2 linked regions of the Pelodiscus sinensis genome follow. The protein of the gene in region 2 interacts with the protein of the main gene of each other region in a pairwise test. Links are inferred from orthologs where the notes say so. Each region holds a gene or a part of one and is shown on either strand. Other genes may lie near its edges.

Region 1 (12,110 bases), on a different chromosome or scaffold from region 2:
GCCTGTCATGTCTTCCATCTCCACGCTGCAGGGCACGATAAAGTGGATGTTCTGCACCAGGGCCCCATTGTAGGCTGTGATGATCAGAAACTTGAAGACTTTGAGAACCGTCTGGCGGATGTACATGGTGTGGAGGATGTCGCCCTCCTCCACGTGCAGCCGGAACTTCTTCACCTTCTCGAACAGAGCCTTGGCCTGCTCCCCTTCCTTCTTGTCCAGCAGGCTGACGGAGGGAGCCTCCGCTACCTTCTTCTCAGAGATGGACTGGACGGGCTGTAGTGGAGGTGGGGGCTCGGGCATTTCGTCCTTGATGCTCTTCCTCCGCCGGTCTTCCTTCTTTGGGCTTGACCCTTCTTGGTTCTCCCCAGAGACCTCAGAGAGGGCCCGGGTAGTCCAGGGCGAGTCAAAGCACTTGCCGAGGATGCAGATGAAGTGCTCGATCTTGGAGCTGGTGCCAGGGAACTTGAACCAGAAACTGGCGCAGACCATAAAGATGAGGGTGTGGATGACCACCAGGTAGGGGAAGTACTTGGCGTACCAGTGCAGGGCTGTCTCGTAGCACATCTGGTTGATGAAGCTGTACTGCTGGATGTCCAGGTTGTTGCGCAGGCCACTCATCTCTCGGGCTGGATGGGCTGTGTCTGGCTCCGAGGCGTTGAGGCTCTTCCTGGCAAAATTTTGGCACGTGTCGACAGAGTGCGAGGCGCTGGCGGGGACGTGGTTGGGGAGGCAGATGATCTTATCCTGTGTCACCTGGGGATAGAGCCACAGAGGGAGGCAGGTTAGGAAACCATGGGGGATCCGGATTCACACCAGGTGGGGATGTGACCCCAACGGAGCAATGGCCCACTGACACACAGTGGGGGTCTGGCCCCAGGCGTCATGCAACGGTCCATGCGTGGTTCTGCCCTGAGCACCGACTGCAGGCTGCATTCATGCATGTGTCAGGGCAATAGTGGTATCGGGCACTGAAGCTGTGCCCAGCCCAGGGGCAGCTTACACACACAGCACCAATGCAATATCACAGAATCCTAGGCCTGGCAGGGACCGAGGTCACCGAGTCAAGTCCCCTGCACTCACGCCAGGACTAAGTATTACCTAGACCTTCCCTGACAGGTGCTTGCTTGTCTAACCTGCTCTTAAAAATCTCCAATGATGGCGATTCCACAACCTCCCCGGGCAATTTATTCCAGTGCTTAACAACTCTGACAGTTAGCAAATTCTTCCTAATGTCCAGTCTAACCCTCCCTTGCTGCATTTAAGCCCATTGCTTCTTCTCCCGCCTCCTTGTAACAAGCTTTCATGTTCTTGAAAAGAGTGATCAGGTCCCCTTCTCAGACTTCTCTTTTCCAGATTAAACCAACCCAGGTTTTTTTTCAATCTTGCCTCGTGGGCCATGTTTCCTGTAATCATTTTTGTTGCTCTTCTCTGGATTTCCTGCAATTTGTCCACATCATTCCTGAAATGTGGGGCCCAGAACGGGACACACTACTCCAGGTGAGGTCTATTCCATGCAGAGTAGTGCAGAAGAATTACCATGAGACTGAAGCCAAGGCTGACCCCTGCCCCCTGCCTCTGCTGCCGGAGTAGGCTGCAGCCCAGCCAGCACATCTTCAGAGCTGTGGTGGGGGGGGGTCCACAACACACGGGCTGCTGGGAGTTGTAGTTTCAGTGGGCTGCACTCTGAAGCATCAATGGGCAAGGGCAAGAAGGCCAAAGGCCTGAGTGGCCAAGACCCACTTTGGCCCTAGGACAAAGGAGACAGAGTCCAAGAAGCACAGCTGGTAGCAAGGAAGTATGTCTAGTGGTTAGAGCACACGTGCTTGGAGTTAGGTTCTGTCCCCAGCTCCAGGAGGAGCGTGGGATCTAGTGGATCCTATCCCCCACTCTATCCCTACCTCTCTGTTTGGCCTTAGGCTGCTTCCCTCCTCTCTGTGCCCGACCAACCCCAGGGTGGCAGCAAGTCTCTAAAGCCCCTTGTGATGCGGAGAGAAATGGGACTAACAAAAGACAAAGAGCCGCTAGTTCACGCCAGCCTTTTCCTCCAGCTAGAGCGGCGGGCACCTCCCACGAGCTTAGCATGCAAACACATGCACTGCACACGGCGCATGCCAGCCCCATGGGAGCCCGTGTGATCCACGGCTCATGCAAGGCCAAGCCATCGCTAATCGCAACCCAGGAGTCCTGACTCTGAAGGGAACAGTCCCCGCTGTGATGTTGTTAGTTACGAGAGCTGGGGGAGCGCGGGGGGCAGGAAGCAGAGAGGAACTGGCCAGGCTGCTATACAGTATTAATGCCCTTCGTTCTGCAGAGCCTTGGCTGGCCTGGTGATACACAAAATAAATCAACTGGTTACTGCAACCCCAGGGCCACGCATCTTCCTCTTTCAGAAACGTGACATTCAGCCCCTGGCTCTGAACAAGCCAAACCCACCTATGCAGTATGAGTGGCATTCCCCACCTGTGAATGACCAACCTACTACTGCTGCCCACTGATGGAGCTGCTCCTTCAGCTCAAGCAGAAGAGTGCTGTGCTGAGGGTCCCTGTGTCAGCAGGGTCTGAGTGTGTGCGTGCAGGGAACTTGCCTGAGGTCATCCCGAAAGTCAGAGCCAGAACTGAGAGTGAAACCCAGGAGTCCCACCCCCAGCTCTCTGCCCTCCCCATGCCTAGACCTCACTCATCTCCCAGAGCCAGGGAAAGAACCCAGAAGTCCCAACCCCCAGCCCCCTGCTTTAACCACTCTCTCACCTAAGCGGGGGGTTCTCTGTACTTCCCTGGCAGATCCTGCCATCTCCTGGCACCTCATTGGCTGGCAGGCGGTGAAATGGTTAACTCAAGGGGGACTACAGGGGAGCTGATCTTGCTCCCGTCCTCCTCCCCACACGTGGCCCTGGGGCTTTGCCTGTGGGACTTGCTGACACGGATGTTCTCCCTGTTGCCATGAGAGGAGACGCTGTAACGGGGCTGCTGCCGTGTGCACGTGGTGTTGGGCTTCTCTATGGACAGATTCCTCCCCTCAAGGTCAGAGGGACCCTCATCTGGGGGCGACCTCCACCCTGATGACAGACCAACCTAAAACAGGGCAGGGGGAGTCGGGGTAGCTCAAGCGGGAGACAAGGATGGAGGGGTCCTTCTCCCGTGTCCCCTGTTCCACCCCAGAATGCAAAGCGTGCCGGCCCATCCACTAGCCACTAGCATTCAAGGGTGGAATCTAGTGGGTACAGCTGGGGGCGGGGGTAGAAGTCAGATGCTTGGGTTTTGTTCCCAACTCTAGCAGGGGAGTATGGGGGAGGGGTTCTGGGGGTCAGGACTCCTGTTCTCAGCTGTTTTCCCCCACTTGGATGAGCCCAGTGGCCCGTTTCCTTCCTGTGGTTCAGCCACAGCCTTCAATCCCACCTGCATCCCCTCCTGCAGGGCAACCCAACATCCAGCCACACCCCAGACGTGCTGGGGCGAGCTCCCTGCCTGGGCACGGATCCCCTGCAGCAGGGCAGAGGGAGGCAGCACCTGCCCAGATACTCTACATGCTCCAGGGGAGGCCGATCCCTCCTGCTTGCGGAGTGGGGGGGGATTACCCCTTCTTAGGGGCTGTACTGAGGGCCCTTGCCCTTCTCCCTTTCCCTCGAGCCCTGGGCCTACCCTCTCCTCTCCCAGCAGGAAGGTTGCATTCGCCCGCCTGGTGGTCCAAAGCCAAACCCCACCCCCTCCCAACTCCGGGGGGTTCAGATCCAAATTGCCCAGTTCCCCAGGGGAGACGTCTTCCAGTTGCCTCCCGTCAGGGCAGAGGGCATGCTGGGACTCCATTTGACAGGCAGGAGGGTGACCGGCTACCGGGGCTCTTCCCCGCCAGCTGCCTTCTCCAGAGTTCGGGGTTTGCTCCCTGCTCTTAGGGGCACTGCTGACACCTGCCATGAGCACAGCACCTGCTACTGTCCGCTGAGGATAGAACCTTCTACTGCTGCTGCTGCTGGTGATTCCCCTTCAGCTCCAGAGGGAGGGGGCCACAGAGGTCCCAGGTCCTGTCCCTGCTGCTGCATGGGAGGGCTTTCACAGAGGGTGGTCATGGCTTACCCCCCCCACGCCCGGTACCCACCTGCAGGGTGCAGCCGAAAACCCCAATCATGAGCATGGCCACCGTGATGTACTCGGCCAGCACATCCCACCAGGGCTTGAGCACCTTGAAGGCTGGCTGCTGGTCCGTGAACTGCTTGAATTCAGCTACAGGGATCATCCTGTCTGCAGAGAGAGGGAGGGGTTAGGCTCAGGCCTGCGAGCTTGCTGGGTCCTCGGTCGGTCAGCAGGAGCTCGGGCGCCCAAGCACACAGGCCCTGCTGCATGAAAACAGGCAATTGAGTGGAAGAGGGCCATTGGGGAGCAAAGGTCTTCAGGCTGCGGGACCAGGAGAGGGAGCTGGTCCCTGGCAGGAGCCCAGCCTGAGAGAGAAAATTGTCCTGTCCTGAATCTCTTTCACCTCCACAACACCAGCCATCCCCGAGTACATTGCTTGCCTTGCCCTGACATGCAGCCACTTCTGGGGTGGGTCACAGCCGCTGGCTAATAGCCCCTCAAGAGCCTGAGACAGGAGAGCCCTGCTCTGACAGGGGAAGTTTCAGGGCAGGATGTAGGAAGGCAGAAGGGAATTACTCCTGTTGGAAAGGGGGCAGGACAGCAGGGCTGGGGAGTGTGGCTAGTCCGACAGACACAGGTCACATGCTGCAGTGCAGCTTTGGGGCCTGCACAGACTGCACGGTGAGGGTGCCCCCTACTAAGCCCCCTCTGGTACCCCCTGCGGGTCACCCACACCACTTCCTCCCCACCTCAGTCTCACCCAGTCTCCTTTCCCCGCCTGCCCAGCCACGGGACAGGGCTACTCACGGAGTCATAGGAAGCTCGATCCAGGACATCGATATGAGCGGGGAGGGGGAGCCAGGGGGAGACACTGGATCCGCTTTCAAAGGGCTGCTGAAAGCTGATCCAGCCAGCTGCAGAGTCCTGCTCCGTGGCTTGAGAGCAACCCAGGCACCGGGCACCGCGTGGGGTTTAACCAGCGCTGGGTGGGCCCTGCCAGCCCGGGCCCTGGAACCCGCCACCTGGGAGCAGGGGGTTCCAAGCACCATAGCAACGCCCTGTGGCCTCCAGGCAACAGAGAGGGGGTGATGCTGGCTGAGGGTGACAGGAAGCAGACAGGACTCTGCTCCCTAGGCTCGCCTTTACCCAGCCTGGGGGCGGGGGGGATCCAGCCTCAGTCTTTGTGTTGTGCAGCAGGGATGGATCCCAGGAACCCTCATTTCCAGCCTCTGCCCCTAACCCGCTGGATCCCACTCTTCCCTCCACCCTGAGCTGGGGATAAAAGCCTGGCTCAGACCCACCTGCTTTAATTCCTAGAGCCTGCTCCCCTCCGAGTGTGAATAGAACCCAGGCTCCCGGCTCCCAGACCCCTGTGTTCTGACCACTAGACCCCACCCCTCCCATAGCTGGGACTAGAACCCAGGAGTTGTGGTTCCTGGTTCCCGCTCTAACCACTAGATCCCATTTCCCTTTCAAGATGGGAATAGAAGCCAGGAGTCCTGGTCCGTGGTCCCCCCTGCTCTGACACACTAGACCCCACTCCATTCCCAGAAATGGGAAGTTTAACAGCCCCCTCCATCTCCTTGGCCCTGTACTCTCCCAAGTCCGTCCTGCACCCCCCTTATCCCACCTCTGCTGCACAGCAACCAGGTCTGCAGATCTGGAGTCTGCCACTCACATTTCTCTGGAGTGGGGACAGAGCCAGGGTTTGCTCAATGGGGCAAACGATTGTGAACCAGCTAGCCCTTGTGAAAATGTATCTAATTGTCCCCATGGGGAGATGCTTTCTGCCCTCCCTCCAGAGAGGCTAAGTCCAGAAGATGGCTCTGTGAGCCCACGTACCCACCCCGATCCCCTGCCAATGTGCACCACCCCTCCCCTGGGGTGCCCTCCTTGAAAGCAGTCTTGGCGGCCTGTTCAGTCTTTGGTTTTTCCATCAAAACTCTTGGATTTTGTCTCCATATTTGGGTGGTAGTGGTGTCTAATGGTTAGAGCAGTGGAGCTAGGAGTCAGGACTCCTGACTTCTATCCCTGGCACTGGAAGGGGGGCGGGGAGGTGTCTAGTGGTTACAGCAGAGGAGCTAAGAGTCAGGACTCCTGGGTCTCAGACTTTGCCATTGACACTGTGTGATCTTAGGCAATTCCCTTCCCTCCCTTGTGCCTCAATTCCCCCAAACCCTTTACTGCTCCTTGCAGGGCTGGCGAAACTTAACCACCTTTGCCTACTGCTGCCACTGGTGGTGGGAGGCAGAGCGTGACCTTTTTCATTGCACTGACTAAGGGATGGGGATACAGCTGAGACTGACAACCAGCGGGAAAGCTCCTGGCTCTGCCTCGGTTTTTCCCCTCCACCCCGTCGGGTGCTAGATGGGCTCCCCAAAGGAAATGCCTTTCCCTTTGCTCAGGGGGGAGAGTGAGGCAAGCCGGCTCTTCCACAAGGGATGTTGTCCCGGCAGCTGCTTCCTTGTGGTTTGTATGTGTGCCTGCACAGCGGAGTAAATATTTCCATTGACTGTGCTGGGCACCAGAGGAGATGGGGGGGGCAGAGAAAGCCGCCGGCAGTTTGGGGCAATCTGGAGAATTCAGAGCAGAGAGAATTTTTAAAAGCAGGGTTGGAACTCTCCAGGGAAGCCCAAAGTAATAGTGGAAGAAACTCTGCTCTGACTGCTAGTCCACACTCCCCATGCGGAGCTGTAAATGGAGTGAGGAGTGTGTAGGGCTGGCAGGTGGCCCAAGGGACTTGCACCCACGTGTACAGCCAGGAACCCCCGGGGCTCCTAGTCTTGGCTCCACTGAGCCAATGTGTGGCTTTGGGCAAAGGTGAAGAGCTGAGTATTGACACAGCCCCACTGCCACTGAGGGCTTTGTGTGGGGGCAGGGCAGGGGGAGTGATCATGCTGCAAAGCCGGGACAGATCCCAGCTCCTCCTGCTCTGACGGTACCAGTCTGTGAAACTTGAGTTTAGAGGAGACTCACCATTAGCAATAGAGGGCTTTTGACACACAGGATCCAATCCAGCAGTGGGAAGTATCCCCATCTATCCCTCCCACCTCTGTGTCCCCCCCAGTATCATTACATCTCAGATGCATGTTTGGCTCGACAGGGTGTGACTAGGAAACAACACCCAGAACTAACAGCTGGACTCCCCCACCATCCATGGTGCTTACAATCAACTGGATACTTCAGGGATCACAGTGGGGAAAGAGGAGACAAACTGGGGCAGCCCTGGAGTCCTTGTCCAGCATGGGCAGCTGGGAATGTAGGATCCCTCCTCCAGCCCCTGGGATGCAGTGCTGGGGGCCTGTTCGCATCTGTGAGGCCCTGCAGGGATCAGGACCCATCCAGCCCCCACCTCACTCTCACTGCAGCCCTTAGAGCATCTTTCAGACCATCCCAAAAGGAATCAATGGGCAGAAGACCATGAATTTGGGGAGACAACAGGAAACTGAAAGGGGGCTCCTGCCCTCCCTGGAGCACAGCCACCACCTCCAGAGGTTGGTAGCCTCATTAATACCTCCCCCCCTACATCTCTGCTCTGCTGCCCCACCGTGCCCCCAGCTGGCATCCCGAATGCCTGCTCTCCCAGGCAGAAGGGTGGGGGGGGGGGACAGATCCTCTGGCATGGGGAAGTGTGGTCTGGGGGAACCTCGATCCAGAATGGAGGCCCAGCTGCTCAAGCTACTCCAGGCATGCAGGAGCCAAGAGCTTCACTCTGGAGTGGCCAGGTGCCTGGCTGCCTAGGACACCTGATGCCTACCCCCACGTGGAGCCTCCCCTCACCCTCACCTGCAGCAGGGGTGATCAGCAAATCCCTGGACTGGCCCAGCATTCTCAGATGCTCTGAGTGCCCAGCCCCTTGGCCCCCACTCCCAGCCTGACCCAGAAGAGAGTCCCCCCTTTCTTCCTCTTCCTCTTCCTCTTCCTCCGCCTGGCCCGAGTCCCTCATCCTCCCAGGCACACAGACTAACCCCCAGCTCCAAGCAAGCCCTCCCCAACCCCATGCTCCTGCCATGCCCAGCCCTCAGGCAACCCCTCCCCCTCTCTATGCCCCCCCATTTCTGGACACCCCCAGTCATGCCACGCTCACAGGCATCCCCTATCCATCCCCACATTGCTAGGTGTCCTCCAGTCATGCTCAGGCAACATCTAGCACTTGTAGTCCCCAGACACCTCCAGCCACCCAGCCTCTGAGCTCAACCCCCACTTCTTCACACAGGCTTCCAGAGGTGGCTGGGGCCTGCTCCATTTGGGCGGGGGGAGGTAAGGGGAACTGAAGGGGGTCCCACCAAACAAGGCCCCCCAAAGCAGGATGTGTTTCCCTCCCACAGCCCCAGGGGGAAATCTGCACCCCAAAAACTCTCTCTGAGAAGAGGCAAACAAGCACTATCTTATCCCCTCTACCTCCCAGAGAATCCCTCTCCCCTAAAAATTGTCCCCTTTCTCCTAGGGACAAATTGCCTTCCCCCCCTTCCTGGGGCAAAACCAGATCCACTCCCCCCCTTTCCTGGGGGCAAACCCCAACTGCCCCATTTCCACAAGGGCCAATCCAGATCCCACTAAAGTTCGCCTGTTGCCCCCCCCGTCGCTCTTGCTGGGGAGTAAATCCGGACTCCCTCCTCTGCGGGAACGCGAAATCCGAATCCCCCGTTTCCTCCGCCCTTTCTGGGTGAGTGGAAACCGGATTCTCGCTCCGCCGGGGGGTGGGGGAGGATTTCTGACCACGCCCCCGCTTTGCCCCTGTAACTCACCAGCTCTCCGGTCCCCCTGCCCAGCTGGTCCCGGTTGCCTCCCCTGGGCTCGACGGGGCGCGCTCAGGGTAACCCCGCCGCGCCCCCCGCCCCGTGCGCGGTGACAGGCTCCTCGACGCTGCTCCCTGACACCCCCGGGGCCGCGGTGACTCACCGGTCTGGCGAGCTCCCGCCCAGCCCCTCCGCCCTGCACTGGGCTGGGTCTGGGGAGGGAGGAGACCCGGGGCAGAGCAAACACGCGGAGCCTCCGCCGGCACCAGCCACAGAGCTGCAGCGACTGGCACACAGAGCAGCCAGGCAGGGAGAGCGGCGTGCTGCACCCCCCTCCCCGCGGGGTCTGGCCCCAGGGGAGTGGGGACTCGTGGGGAGAGCAGGAGTGGGGCTGGGGGTCAGGACCTGCTGGGTTTTGGCCACAGCGATGTCAGGGGAGTGAGGACTAGTGGGGAGAGCAGAGGTAGGGCTGGGGGTCAGGACCTGCTGGGTTTTGGCCACAGCGATGTCAGGGGAGTGAGGACTAGTGGGGAGAGCAGAGGTAGGGCTGGGGATCAGGTCTGCTGGGTTCTGGCCTCAGCGATGTCAGGGGAGTGGGGACTAGCGAGGAGAGCAGAAGTAGAGCTGGGGGTCACGACTGCTAGATTCTGGCCTCGGGAGTGGGGACTAGTGGGGAGAGCAGGACTCCTGTATCTCTCTCACGGGGTGCCCTCAGAAGCACCCATTCTGCTCTTTGTCTCAGATTCCCAGCTGTAGGTGTGGGCAGCAGCACTCCCAGCTCCTCAGGTGACAGAAAGGGCGATTGCACATTACAATGGTTTGATTATTTAATCTCACTGAAATTGTGGTTTGAATTCAGCCCATGGGTGTTGCTCATGGACCAGAGAAGATTTCTACATCTGCACTAACAATCTGACATTTCTGCAGCTGCTGTCACACAAGGTACTTTGCAAACTCTTTATAAGGAGCACTTTGCCCCCTGAAAACGAAATGCAGCCACTTCTGGGGTGGGTAGCAGCAGCTGCTGTTTAACAGCACACAGCAACTCCATATAGGGACCATTCACTCAGCACTGAAATGCAGCCACCTTGAGGGTGGAGCGTGGTAGGTGTTCAACAGTGAGAAGCACCACTGCACAAGACTCACTCATCTCACACTGAAATGCAGCTAGCTCTGGGGTGGAACACAGCAGCTATTTAACAGCACGCAGCAACACCGCACAAGAACAGTTGTGAAGTTGATCACTGCATTGAAAATGTTCACAAGGTAGATTAGAAAAGTGCTCTGGGAGCTGGGCTGAATGCCGGGTTTGTCATGGGAGAAAGGGGGCTAATTACAAAGCTCCTGTTTGTGTTCTCAGTGAAGTGGGTCATTGCATCAGGCAGAGGCCGCAACGGGCTCAAAGCTCTCACTGTCTGGGTGAAATCCTACCCCCGGGCTGCACTGCACAGCCCATCTCTGGAGACAATCAGATGGGGCCTGGGAGCTGGGATTCATTTGACAGGGATGTTTGAACATAAATCCGCAGAGAGGAGTCTGAGAAGGAAAATCTCCCCCTTTGCTACCTGCTCGTCACAGCCTTGTGCTGGGACCTGAAATCCAGGGATTGAAAGTGACGAGGGGCCAAAAGCTCAGCCTGCTGCCCCTCTGGGCCAGGATCTGGGAACTGAATTCTCAACTGTTACGTAGCATCCGTATCAAGAAGGCATGTGGAGTGAGGGGGGTTCTGGGACCTGGTTCCCTCCTCATCTCCCCCGATGCACAGAGGACGTGGACGGGACTGCACAACAGGGCCAGAGTCAGAAGGGGAGTGAAAGCTGCACCCTGTGCATTCTGGCCTCCTGCCAGCCAGCCCCCTCCTGATCCCCCTGCCCTTCAGCACGGCCCCCTCCTGATCCCCCTGCCCTTCAGCACAGCCCCCTCCTGATCCCCCTGCCCTTCAGCACGGCCCCCTCCTGATCCCCCTGCCCTTCAGCACAGCCCCCTCCTGATCCCCCTGCCCTTCAACACAGCCCCTTCCTGATCCCCTGGCCCTTCAGCACGGCCCCCTCCTGATCCCCCTGCCCTTCAACACAGCCCCTTCCTGATCCCCTGGCCCTTCAGCACGGCCCCCTCCTGATCCCCCTGCCCTTCAACACGGCCCCCTCCTGATCCCCCTGCCCTTCAGCATGGCCCTGTTTGCTTCCCCTGCTGTGAAAAATGGCCAGGTCCTGAAATACAAAAATTCAGGTGGAAATCAGTCACTGGCTTTCCCCAGCCCCTGGGGATTTTTTGGAGAAAATCAGTAAATGAAGGGACTTGTTTATTAAGCAGCAGGATGCCGTGGTGCTGAGAGGGACCAGCATTCAAGCATGTCGATACGGGTTCTGGCTCACACCCCAAATATGGCCCAATGTCCTGCCTTGCCCTGCACGACAGAAGTGGGCTCTGGTAGCGAGAGCAGGGTACTTGGGCCTTAGGACTCCTGGGTTCTATTCCCAGCTCTGGGCAGAGACTGGTGAGTCTAGTGGTTAGAGCTGGGGTGCTGGGAGTCGGGACCTCCGGAGGGTACGTCTATGCAGCAGCTTGGAGTGTATGTTCAGGCAGCTGCCCTGCACCGCAGCATATACTGTAACATACATACCGCCACGTGTGGCACGCTGCCCTGAGCACGGCCACGTGTCTGTCTGCCCAGGCTGGGAGGCCCATGCCCAGCTGCCGGGGGTCACAGGCGGGGCCTTGGTGCCCTTCCCTGAATGTCTCTCTCCGGCACAAAATCAGGCCGACCTTCAGCAGGTGCCTAGTACCCGCTTCTCCAGGCCGGCGTGCTGGAAACACCAGATAGGAGCTCCGTCTCCTGCTGAGACAGCCAATCAAATCCACTTGAGGTGGCAGCTACTTAGCCATTGGACCCCACCCTGCCCAGAGCTGGGAATCCAGCCCAGCCCCGAGACCCCACTCGCCTCCCAGAGCAAGGGACACAACCCAGGAACCCTGACCCCCAGCTCCCTTACCCTCCCCCCAGCCTCTCCATGCCCGGCCCCTGGCCTGGATCCTCGCCTGTAGCTAGGGCTGAGTGAGCTCACCCGGCCACAGCAGGCCGGGCCCATAATTATCTGGAAACAGTCATTTCCTGAGGTGCCCACGAGTCCCTCATCAGGGCTGGCAAGGACATTTAAAGGGCCGGTGCACTCATTCTGCGGGGGACAGTGATAGAAGTGGTGTCAGAGACCAGCTCTACAGAGGAAAGCCAGCGAGTTGGAGAGCCGAGGGGAAATGCAGGGAGCTGCGGAGGAGCTGGGCACAGAGCACCCCAGAGCCTCT
Region 2 (12,601 bases):
ACTTCTCCACATGAACCCATAGCCCCTCCCAGATCCGGCACCCCAATCTCCTGACTGACATCACAAACCCCTCCTAACCTAGGTCACATCCCAAAACCCTGCACCACATTTCCCTGCCCTAAGCCACAACTACCTCCTTTGCCCAAACTCCCTCCCAGACTCCATTCTCCCTCTTGCACGCCAATCCTTTACCCCAAGCTCCCTTCTGCACCCAACCTCCATCCCAGACCCCGCACCTCCTCCATTAACATCATGGAAGAGTGCAGCCCTCGGCCACTTTCCAAAATCTTGGGAGGGTCCCCCCATCAAAAATTATTGCCCACCCCGGGTTAGCATGTCTGATGGGACTGTATAATGGGGAATGATTGGAGGGGATGCTCTGACCTTTTGGTAAGAAGCAAGGTCTCTCATGAGGATAAATTATTTTGCCTTCTAGTTCCATTTGGGAACCATATTATTGCCTCCTAAAAAGAGGCACCTGTCCTATTATCCCTTAACTAATAAGAACTGTAAAATCCTTTTCAAACTACCAGCCAACCAGCTTGATATAAATCCAGCTTGATCTGGATGGATGAAAGGATATTTTGAGTAATTACGCGCCCTCAAGTAATCTTTCAAAAGCATCTTATTCACTGTCCTCTGGAATACAAGAAAAACGTTCTTCATTTCTTTGCATGCCAAAAAGTCATTCAAGGGGATACAATGGCCCTTCCTGTTCAGAGGCTTGCCTTAGTTAAGATTTTTATGATTTCTTTATTGAAGGGACAACATTGTGACTGTCAGGATATATTTTTACTGATCTCAATACTGACAGTTGATTATGTATATGCCACCTTATTTACATAAACTACTATTGAACCAAAAACCTATGTAACTGCAAATTAGAATTCAGAATTTAAAGTAAAAAAAAGTCAGGACATTCAAATTCACTTACACTTATAGTATTTAATATTATTGTATAGACTGGTAGGTGTATACCCTAACAAAAAACCTGTACCTAGAAGAGTGGGCCATTGGCCATCCCAGCTGCTTCAGGTTTTTTTTTAGAAAAAAGTTCTAAGGGTCTCAGTTTTGTCCCAGTGCAGAACAAAACCAAATGCCAAAAACTGGGCATAATAAAAACTGAATTCTTGTTTTCCATCAAGCACTACTTCTGAAATCTACAGCTGAAATGGAGGGGAGCAAAGAGGTTCGAAAATATAATCAGACTGTGCTAACTAAGGCACTGATATCCATGCTAACAGTCTGCTCCTGTACAGGCACACCTTGTACACATGGATCACAATATAGGATCAGAGCCTGCATGAATGAATGAGTGAAATTACTCCATGATGAACTAACTCCTCTGAGACTTTATGCTATAGCTGTTATACGTGGCTATTTAACTTGAATGTTTTTGTGATGTGATTAAATGTGGGTGAATATGCTCCATTACATTAATGGTTCTATACTAATGGGCTTAAAGCAATCATTATCAATGGTCCACAACATTTTCATAATTAACATTTATGTTTTGGTGAGGTGATTCAATTTAGATAAATATACTTCCTTAAATTAACAGTTGGATATTAAACACCATAAGGGAGACATTACCAGTGGGTCAGAACTACTTTGAATCAGGTCACAGAAAGATTTATGCCATTTTAGTATTATTTTAATTACATACTAAGAAAAGCCCATCTACATGATATTCTCACATCGTGCAGGGTCAGGCTGCCTGTTCAGTCATGGGAAGATTCTAGACTAGAGAGCAATGCGTTAGGGTGGCAAGCCAGGATGAAGTTCTGACCTAGCATCCATCCTATGCCTGAGTCAATGACAACAGGATCCTCAGCATCTAGCACCATAGGAATAAGTCCACCTTCCACAAAGTCAAAGATATCTGGGGCTATCCCAATGCCCTGCGGATGGTGAAATGATAGAACCCCAGTGCCTGAAAGTAGCTCCCTTTTGTGCTCAAAAGGGAGTGCCTACACCACAGTGAACAAGAATAGCATTCTGGGGAGGTGAAGACACATCTGCTGGCGCCACCACCGAGTAATGCTACACTCCCATGACATCCCTTGTATCAGACCTGCGGGCACAGCTGCTTTCCTCCTGGCTACCATCCCTTCCTGTGACAAACACTCCTTTTTTTAATCTCGCTTCCTCCAAATGGAGCAGGCTCTGCAAGTATGCCTATGTCATATCAGTTGAGACCAGAGGAGCTTGTTAGTCTGTTTCTGTTGGGAATTGGGGTGTGCCTCATCGCATTCATGAACATGGTTCCTGGGCAGTATAAGACAAATAATAATAAAACACAGAACAAAATTATCACATCCAGTCCCCTAATCAAACACAGTGACTAAATGTAGGACTAACCCCATAGTGACAGTCTGACATCAATGTTTAGGTGAATCGAAGGAAGTGGGGTAATAATGCAGCCCAGTATAGTTTAATTAATAATAAAAATTAATTCTGTATGAATTACTAATAAATATTTTATTACGAGCTTTTGTTAGTTTTCCTCTTCATGGAATGTCCACAAACAGACTGATTTTCTCTAATTTATTTGCTATTGAAATATTCCCTGAATAGTTTTGATACATTTTGTTTACTCAATGGTTTGCTATTTGAAATTCAGAATCCAAAACTCAAGTTGTGCAGTTTAGTTGGGAGTGGTCATATGGCACTGTTTCCTGATGACTTGAGCATAATTTTATTTAATTAATTAGGTCTCTGGTATAAATGCTAGTGAAGCTCAAGTCACAATTATGTTCATGGTAGGACAAAACACAGGGCACAAACAGGTTTACAAAATTCAGCAGAATAGATATGAAAAATTTTCCTGACCTACCTTGCTTCCTCTTGCTGGGATTCAGGAGGGAGAAGAAGAGTTGCTTTAAAAGCTGAGGGGAGAGAAAAACCAACATGGAGACTAAAGTCTGCTGGTCCAAGTCTCTCAGTCAGCTTGGGGGGACAAAGTTCGTTCTAGTATCAGGGCCTGAGGACACTAAGAAAATGGGAAAGATAATTTTCTTTGTGGGGAAAAGTAACTCAGAGGGAGACAAGGCCCCTGGTCCAGGGAGGGGGAAACCAAGGAAAGTATGAAGAGGAGGCTATTCATCTGCAGTACCTCAGTACATAATGAAGATGGTTATGGGTTTACCATCATTCATATCTTGCCATTTATTGTATCTTGGCCTTTACCTGCATTTAGAATGGAAAATACCAAAAATTCCAGGGTAAATGTAACTACTGCAATAGCAAATGTCCTGAGTGAACTGTACTCCCCTTCAGTACTGTGAGGGGGAGGCAAACCTTAAAATAATAGGTTATCCTAAGGTCAGCCAAATCCAGGCAAAAAATATCTGCAGAGAGATAGGCATACAAAAGGATGTTCCGCCTCCAGAGCTTTTTTTAAAAAGTCTATCATCACTAATGCACATAATAGAAAGTGAAGCTCTGTCTCTGAGTAGCAGCACCAGGAACTGCAGGGGTTGTTTAACATTCAATGAGCATATGCCTAAAAAGTCAGTGCACACATTTGCACATTTCACTGCATGTCTGCACATCACTGAATTTTGCTTAGGCTCCATCACACTCAGTTCAGAGCAGGGATGAAAAATTTTGGATGAAATCTGGGAGAGTGTGAATCACAACTGAAAGATAAAGCTGTTTTTCCCTTCTTCCCCTTCAAATGAATGACAGTAGACAGAAAGATGTTGCAAAGATTTTTAAGACATGTTCCAAATTCTCCTGGAAGAATACATTCAGTGAAGTCATAGATAATTTCTCTCCATTCACAAGATTTATTTTTGGCTTTCAACATTTATTGAATAATTCCATCCCATCCCCACCTGGCAACCTTTCCCTACCCCCCATTGCCCTTTTAATATTTTAATGTTGTTTATAAGTTTGTGATAGACCTAGTCCTCAGAGGTCACCACTTATCTCAGAAGTTGGCTTGTTGCCACTCTGTCTAGGGGAACCTAACTCTACCAATTGTGATCAAAGGTGATCATTTTCATATATAGCCAATGGTGAAATAGCTGCAATGGAGAGAGACATCTATATCTTCAGAAATTAAGGCACCAGTGATGACTGATTATCAGCAAAACAGCCAAATGCATCCCTGTTGTAACTACATTAACATTGCTGGAGTTGCATGAGGGATGTGTTTGGCCCTTTATTTGCAGTACATTGATACATGAAACTAACACAGTCTTCATGATCACTTTATGCTGGTCACCTGTTTAAAAGAACTGTAGGAATTAAATTGTTACATGAGTTATAAAGGGTTTACAGTACTGTAAACAGCCCCTACTAAATAACAAACAGTGCAAAGGAACAAACATGTCATGACAGCACAAACAAACTAGCCATGGCAGGCATTTCTCATGCAATTATCTGAAATGTGTACACGTTACTGGTTGAAGATTGTTTTCAATAGGCAGATTTCATTCATAGCATATTAAGAGTTCACCAGCTGTACGTTGAAATTCACTGCAGTGGAATAACCACACTATAAAAATACTTCCATTATACAGGAGATTGTAACCAAAATGTTATTTTTGATGCTATAATCAGGTTATAGAAAGCACAAAACATACCAAGCAACACTGTGTCCTTGTTTACAATTCCTGTCTGCGGCACTGAGAAACCTGCAACTCCACAGCTTCCCAGCCACCATGTTATTCTGTATTCATGCCCTAAAACAAACAAAGCTCATCTTCCACTACACAGCATGAGAGATTTGGTGACATTTATAGCTCACCCTGTTATTTTCATTGTCCTTATCACTTTAGATGTAAGGTAAATAGCAGTCTGAGGATGGAGATTTGGTTTTTCTTCTATAAGTTACTGTCAAATTTCTTAATCAGAAGTCCAAGTATATGTTTTGTTTAAAAAACAAAACAAAAAAGCATGCTAAATGAAAAATGCCAAGAGAAATTCCTTTCTGTGCTTGTAAATAGTCTCTGTATGCAGAGGTATCTTTCTCCCTGTGTATCAAAAACTCTCTAATAGCATTTCTGTCAGGGTTCTGGCTCTTCCCTTCACAAACAAAGCAGCACACACATCCTAAAAAAATCAGCTAACACAACTGTAATTTGTTTGTTCCATTAAGCTACCAAGGATCCCTTCTCTCTTGCTGTTTCACTAAAAGCCATTACAATACCGCAAAGAAACATTCTCACTGGGGATGTTTTTGGCTTTCATCTCATTGCTTTTTCAACCAGAACACTGAAGTTAGAAACCTTAATTAGCAATCTGAAAGCAGCCACAAGCCAGGAATACTTACATTTGCAATTGTGTTTGCGATATTTGTGCACTGATCCAGAAAAAAGAAGAGAAAGAGCTTTTTTATAGACTGTTTTTCAAGCCCGGTAGCAGTGAAAAGAAGGCTGCTATCTGAAAGCTACTCATTTTCTATAAGCTCTGCTCTGCTTGCTTCCTACGTGCATGCAACTCAGCTGCCAGATTTAATAACCATGTCAGCCTGTTTCCCCCATAACGAGGCAGAGAGATGATAGGACAAAAATGAAATAGCCAGCAGGTTAATCTCTAGTTATGGCTGTACTAACCCTTGAACAAATGCCATGATGTTATTGAAGAAATAAAATAAATCAACACTATTTTGTCTGAAAAAAAGGCTCTTGGTAATGGTATTCAATGGTTTTTCACTATGACATTAAAAATAAAAACATTGCTTCCCCCCACTCCCTCAAATAGCAAAGGCTGACATCAAAGATCATTCATCTTTTACTATTTACCTGATCTTTCACCATACATTTTCCGCACAAGGCATATCCACCCCCAAAAGAGAACAAAACCCACATCCTCCAGAATTAATCAGGAATTACTCCTCCCCTCCCCTTCTTCGTTTTAAAAGGAAATGGGTTGAATTTTTCAGAAAAAAAATGAATGAAAGCTCTTGTTTACCATTTAAATGTTGTCATGCAAAGTGATTCTTAGAACCCTGGACCTTAATGTCTGACGTAATCTGTTTCAGTTCTTTGCTGGCATGGAACATTTCCAAATCACTGGCCACAAACCCAGCTCCATGGAGGTGAGGGATTGGCAAATCAGAGTTTACGTGACTGGAGAACAGGGAAGCTGACCTTGTAATGAAAAACTATAAAATAAAAAATGTATATAACTGACTTCCTACAGCGTAAGGATGCTGCAGAGATCATGACATCACTCTGTGTGTGTGTGTGTGTGTCCTTTTTGTCTCATTTATATTCTCTCCCCTTCCTTTCAAGGCACCTGTCTCAGCAGGGAGTGGTTTCTGTGGAAACTACAGACAGCCAGTTTTCCCCTCAGAGAAACTGTTACCATGGCAACCTCACAAAATGTATATGGCCTAGATTATAATTTTTAAATGGAAGTTATACTGAAATTCTTAATAATAAAATTGGAGCAAAGTGTGTTTTGGTGGGAGTGTGAAATAGAGTAATACCATTACAAAAAAAACACACTGTCATGAATAAAATTAGAGTTCTAGGAGCACTATCATAGCATCACATACAAATAAAATTGTTTCTAAATAGAACTAAACAAGGGATGTTGAACTTGTTTAGCCTTTTGTACTGAAAAGTGGACATTTATTTTTCTGTTTACCTTAGCGTTCATTACAGCACCCAAGACTGAATTATCAACGTGCTGGGATTTGTTCAATTTGCAAATAATAATATTATCAGGCATGAACAGTGTATTTAATTACTAACACCCAACTCCTGGACAACCGTTTCTCTCCTGCTGTGAACTTTAGGACCTCTTGTAGGGACTGATAGCCATAGCAGTTCCAGTTGTGGTTGCCCTCTGCCTTGTTGGACACCACAGCTTTGAGCCCTAGTGCCTTTTCTGCATTGTGCTTTCACCTTGCTGTGCCATGGAGCCGGGGTGGCCATCTTGGAGTGCCTGCAGCAGTTGCTCCATGCTGCTGCATTGCTCCTCCAGGACCTTGAGACAGAGCTCGAGCTGGACTCTCTCCTCACAGATGCTCTGGCGGCCCTGGAGCATCCCCACCCCACCGTGGAGAGGCATGTGTAGAAACTGGACACCAGTACCGACTGTGGGACTAGCTGGTCCTGGGGCAATGGGACGACTAGCAATGGCTCCAGAACTTTCAGATGCAAAAGCAAACGTTCCTGGAGCTGTGTGCCTGGCTCGCCCCTGCACTCCAGAGACGCACCACCTGGCTGTGGGCTGCAATCCCTGTGAACAAGAGGGTCGCCACTGCCATATGGAAGCTGGCCACCCCGGACATCTACCACTCGGTGGCACACCAGTTCGGGGTGGGCAGGTCCACCATTGGTTCCATTGTGATGCAGGTAAGTCCTGGGGTGGGTGCTGCACTCCCTGCCGGGGGAAGGGAAGACTCACGGCTGGGAGAGTGGGGGACTCCCTGTCACCCAGGGGTTTGTGCCATCCCTCCCTCACACAGGCCTGCTGGTATGGGGGGGGGGCCTGTGGGGCAAGAGGGCCCTGGTGTGTTTGGGGACAGAGGGCATCATAGGGGGGTGGGCACCCCCCCAAAGGATCATGCACTCACCCTGCCTCATTTGGTGCATTCCCTGTGTTTCTGTGCACCCTTCTGCAGGTCATCCACGCCATCAACGACATCCTGCTTCAGTGAGTCATCCACCTTCGGGACGTGGACACAACAGTGGCCGGCTTCGCTGCCCTGGGGTTCCCCAACTGCGGGGGAGCCCTGGATGCGACCCACATCCCTGTCCGTGCCCTGGACATTAAGCGGCCCAGTTCATAAATTGCAAGGGGTACTTCTCTGTCATGCTCCAGGCCCTCGTGGACCCTCATGGCTGCTTCACTGACATTTATGTGGGGTGGTCCGGCAGAGCACATGACGCCCACATCTTAAGAAACTCCGGCCTGTTTCGCAGGCTGGAGACGGGCACTTTCTTCCCCCAGTGAGACTTTACTATTGGGGATGTGCCCATACCAATTTGTGTTGTGGGGGATGCGGCCTACCCCCGATGCCCTGGTTGATGTGGCTGTACACAGGATGGACAGACCCTGACCGGGCATGTTTCAACGATCGCCTCAACCGATCCTGCAACCAAGCTGAGTTTGCTTTTCGTTGTCTGCTCACCTGTCTTAAGATGGGTGAGCAGAACCTTCCAGAAGTAGTGGCTGCGTGTTGTGTGCTCCACAACATAGTGGAGCAGAATAGGGAGGTCTTCCTCCCGGTGTGGATGCAGCAGAGGGCCAGGCATTCGCACAGCTGCCATCTGCCAGGCACACCATGATGGAGTGTGCATCCGGGAGGCCCTGAAGAAGATGTTCTCCCAGGCCCCACAGTAGGGTTGCTTCTGTCTCCCAGTTACGTCTTCCTCCCATCCCCAACCCTTCCCTCCCCCACTCCCCTCACCTCCCAATAAACAAAACAGTTTTTTTTTCAAACAACCATAAAACTTTTATTTTTATTTACAATGGGGGAGAAGGGTGGGCAGTGGGAGGGGGCTCTGAACTGGGAGGGGAAGCTACTGGTGGAAGAGGTGGCTCCTGCCAGTGCCTCTGCGGGAGCGGAGTCCTGGATGGCCTTCAGGCTGCATCGGGGCAGGTAGCATGGAGTGATGGGCAGGACAGGGTGCAGCAGGTGGGGGCAGGGCGGTAGCAGGAGTGAAGGCCGGAGAAGGGGGCATGGGCATGGCAGGGAGGGCAGATGCATGAGGCAATGCCATGCCATAGTGCATGGCTTGCCTGATGTGCGATGTCAGAGTCGTGATTGCATCACACATGCGGTCACACCGGTGCAAAAACTGCCCCCATGCATGCTGGCGTCACTCCAGGTCGGCGTCAGTCTTCCTAGTGATGGCCGCCTCAATGCGCTCGATGGCCCGTACGTGGTGAAGGAGCAGTTGGTCCTACTGCCTGACCCTCTGGGCTGGTACCTAGATCGTTGGGGGTGCTGCTGCCGCCGCAGGGCTGGAGGGTCCCTTGCTCCTGGAGGGTCCAGCTACAGGGAACAGAGGAAATTGTGGGTCGGTCAGGCAGACCTGCCCACACTGTCCCTGCGCCCCATGCCCTCCGTCCTGAGCCCAGGTGACAACACAGTACTGTGGCTTGGGCCCACTCACTTCCCCCCGTGTGTGTATGTTTTCATACAGGACTCCCCCCTGGAGTAAAGTGATCCTCCATGGATTGTAACCCCTTGTCTGTGTCCTGGCCCCTTGGCATGTTTTGTGTTAACCTGTGGAACTCCTTGCCAGGAGGCTGCGAAGGCTTAGGACTATTCAACAGAGTTTGAAGAGGAGCTTGATAAATCCCCACATTGCATGAGAGCATGGATGGGAGACAAGGTCTGGGCTCTCGGACCCCTGTCAAGTGATGTCCTCGGAGACAGAGCCAGGGGTGACTGGGGAGTGTACCGTCCTTTCAGCAAAACTCAAGTGGCCCTAGGGCCAGGCCAATCACTTCCCCTCTCCCCCTCTAGCTAGGGGAGGGACTTCCCTTGGGGCCCAGCCTAGGGGCCAGGAACAGGCGAGGGGCTCAGTGGGGGCTGTGCTCACAGGGCTGGCTCGCTGCGGTTTTCCCAGCACTGTCTGTGTGCGGCATCCTTCGGGAGGTGTGGGGTCTGGCTTGAGCTCTTTGGGGCCTTGGCTGCTTCCAGCCGGCATCCCCCTGCCTCCCCAGTCCAGGCGTGTGTGAGCAGCACAGTCCCAGGCATGCCCTGTAGCTGCCTGCCGCGTCCACATGCCGCACAGTCAGGCTGCACGAGGTTGCATGTGCTGCATACTGGTACACAGTGTGCAGCTCGAACTGCCTAAGTGACGCTCCCTCCCCCTCACCCCTGGGCACCTGGCTCCCCCGGCCCTTGTGAGTGAAAAGCACAACACTCACCAGAGAATCCTTCTCCGGCCTCCGACGAAGCCCGGGAGACATCCTGGCTGCTTGGCACCATCTCAGTCTGCACTGTGACGCTGCTGCCCTGGTCATCGTCCTCCTCCTCCAACCCGGTGGGCAGCTCTGCCTCTTCCTCTGCCTCAACTGGCCTGATGACGGGGGGCCGCATGCTGGTGTCCACAGGCACCGAGGGGCCTTCAGTTTCCATCTCCCCAAGGATGGCATGGAGCCGGTCATAGTGGGGGCAGGTGTCGGCTCCTTCACCTTAGCCCGACCTATTCAAGGGTCCGGGCTGGATGTCCCTGGTGGTAGAGCGCCTGGGCCATGCGGCAGAAAATGTCAGCATTCTGCCAACAGGCATGGGGGTCATGGAGGGCTTCCTCATTGGCCTACAGGTTGAGCAAGGCCTCTACTTCGGCTGGGGACCAGGACAGGGTGCACCTCTTGGTGCCCCTCGGGGCCTCCTGAGACCCCTGGGATGGCTGCTGGAAGAAGGCTGCAGGTTGCTGGTGCCTCCCTGGAGCAGACATGCTGGTGGGGCCTTTGCTGCATCAAGGCAGAGCCGCCCAGGAGAGCTGGGTGGCAGAGGTGCTGCTGCCACATGGCCTCTGCAGGCTGCATGTGACTTTAAGGGGGCTCCGGTAACCAGGAAGTCTGGTGCTGTGGTGGGTACAGAGTGTCTAAGTAGCCACTTGGTTTTTTTCCATTTGGCTGGTTCTTGCGCAAAAACTCTTGGCTGCCTGTCTACACTGGCCTCTTGCACAAGAACACTTGCGCAAGATGGCTTCTTCCTGAGAGGGAGCGCCAGAGCTCTTGCGCAAGAAGCCCTGATTTCAGATGCTCTACTGTAGATTTACTTGCGCAAGAACGCGCATGCAGTGTAGACAGGCAGCAAGTTTTTGCGCGAGAACAGTTGTTCTCGCGCAAGAACGCGCCAGTGTAGACATAGCCTTACTGTTTACTTCTCTTTCATCTTCTCAACAAATTCAGAGGGGTTTACCTTGTCTATCTCAATGATGAAGAGGGAGGATTTGATCAGATTATAAGCAAAGTATTTGGAAGATAGGTTAGTTTGAATCTTCATAATGGGATTATGGAGTCTTTAATTTCCATAATAGCCATTAAAAAATCCAGCCCAAGTTGGTATTGACATAAAATGGTAATCTACAACTGGTTTTCAGTGACCTCTGTGAAATGACTTTGTGTGCTCAGTTTAATTTCTAGTGGACAGGTGTCCATAACAAACATCCCCTCCCATAACATAGTACCCCTGTTTGCAGTCTGCATAGAGAACGGTTACGAAGGTTGGATTACCCATTCACCTCTACAGTTGATACTTCCAAAACAGGTTTGAAACATACTGTTTTAAAAGATATTACTTCACCCGCATGGTAATCTATGGGATTAGAACATAACAACAGCCATACAAGATCAGACCAAAGGTTCATTGAACCCAGTATCTTGTCTTCCAACAATGTCCAATGCCAGGTGCTTCAGAGGGAATGAGCAGAACAAGTAATCATCAAGTGATCCATCCCCTGTTACCCATTCCCAGATCAGAAGCAAGGAACACCATTCCTGTCCAAGTTGGTTAATAATCACTAGTGGACCTATCCTACGTGAATTTATATAGTTCTTTTTTGAATTCTGCTTTTTTGAATTCCCAATATCCCCTGGCAAAGAATTTCACAGGCTGACTATGTGTGAAGAAATACTTCTTTTTGTTTGGTTTAAATGTGCTGCCTATTAATTTCATGTAATGACCCCTAGTTCTTGTGTCATGGGAATAAGTAAATAATTTTCCTTATTTACTTTCTCAACACCAGTCATGATTTTATAGATCTCTATCGCCCCCCCCCCCCCAGTCATCTCTTCCAAGATGAAAAGTCCCAGTTCTATTAATCTCTCTTCATATGGCAGCCATTCCATACCCCTAATCATTTTTGTTGCCCTTTTCTGAACTTTTTCCAGTGCCAACATATCTTTTTTGAGATGAGGTGATCACATCTGCAAGAAGTATTCAAGATTTGGACATACTATGGGTTTATTGATATTTTCTGTCTTCTTATTTATCCTTTTTCTAAGGATGCCCAACATCCTGTTTGCTTTTTTGACTGCTGCTACACATTGAGTGGATATTTTCAGAAAACAATCCACAGTGAGTCCAAGATCAATTTCTTCAGTGGTAACACCTAATTTAGACCCCATCATTTTATATGTACAGCTGGGATGTTTTCCAACGTGCATTACCTCACATTTATCAACACTGAATTTAATCTGCCATTTTGTAGTCCAATCACCCAGTTTTAAGTTGTCACTTTGTAACTCTTTGCAGTTTGCTTGGGACTTAACTATCTTGAGTAGTTTTGTATCATCTGCAAATTTTGCCATCTCACCGTTTATTCCTTTCTCCAAATCATTTACAAATATTTTGTATAGTACTGATCCCAGTACAGATCTCTCCATTCTGAGAGCTGGCCATTTATTTTTACCCTTTTGTTTCCTTTTAACCAATTACCAATCCATGAGAGGACCTTTCATCTATCCCATGACAGTTTACTTATCTCAACAGCCTTTGGTGAGGGACTTTGTAGAGTACTGACCCACTCTCCCTTAGCTCTCCCCTGCACGAGGAGGAGGAATATATTGGGGATGGGGACTGGAAGTACATCAGAGGCGGAGCCAGACAAGATGTAGAGGAGCCAACCTTCATTATACTGGATCATCCACTATCATAAGATCTATCATAAGG

The links.
Region 1: the proteins of TRIM2 (region 2) and volume-regulated anion channel subunit LRRC8E interact in binary tests that used the Homo sapiens proteins (3 or more experiments, as listed by UniProt). The two-hybrid records come from large-scale screens. The link is inferred for Pelodiscus sinensis from reciprocal best matches to the Homo sapiens genes TRIM2 and LRRC8E.

What each region holds. Positions count from the first base shown.
Region 1 is NC_134729.1:9,963,690-9,975,799, forward strand, and holds the start of volume-regulated anion channel subunit LRRC8E, read right to left. Parts: upstream 5,091-12,110; 5' UTR 4,905-5,090; coding exon 4,876-4,904; intron 4,237-4,875; exon of another isoform or gene 4,233-4,236; coding exon 4,094-4,232; intron 2,933-4,093; exon of another isoform or gene 2,749-2,932; intron 754-2,748; coding exon 1-753. UniProt on the Homo sapiens protein: Non-essential component of the volume-regulated anion channel (VRAC, also named VSOAC channel), an anion channel required to maintain a constant cell volume in response to extracellular or intracellular osmotic changes.
Region 2 is NC_134715.1:55,900,836-55,913,436, reverse strand, and holds the start of TRIM2 (tripartite motif-containing protein 2), read right to left. Parts: upstream 5,430-12,601; 5' UTR 5,282-5,429; intron 2,889-5,281; 5' UTR 2,837-2,888; intron 1-2,836. UniProt on the Homo sapiens protein: UBE2D1-dependent E3 ubiquitin-protein ligase that mediates the ubiquitination of NEFL and of phosphorylated BCL2L11. Plays a neuroprotective function. May play a role in neuronal rapid ischemic tolerance.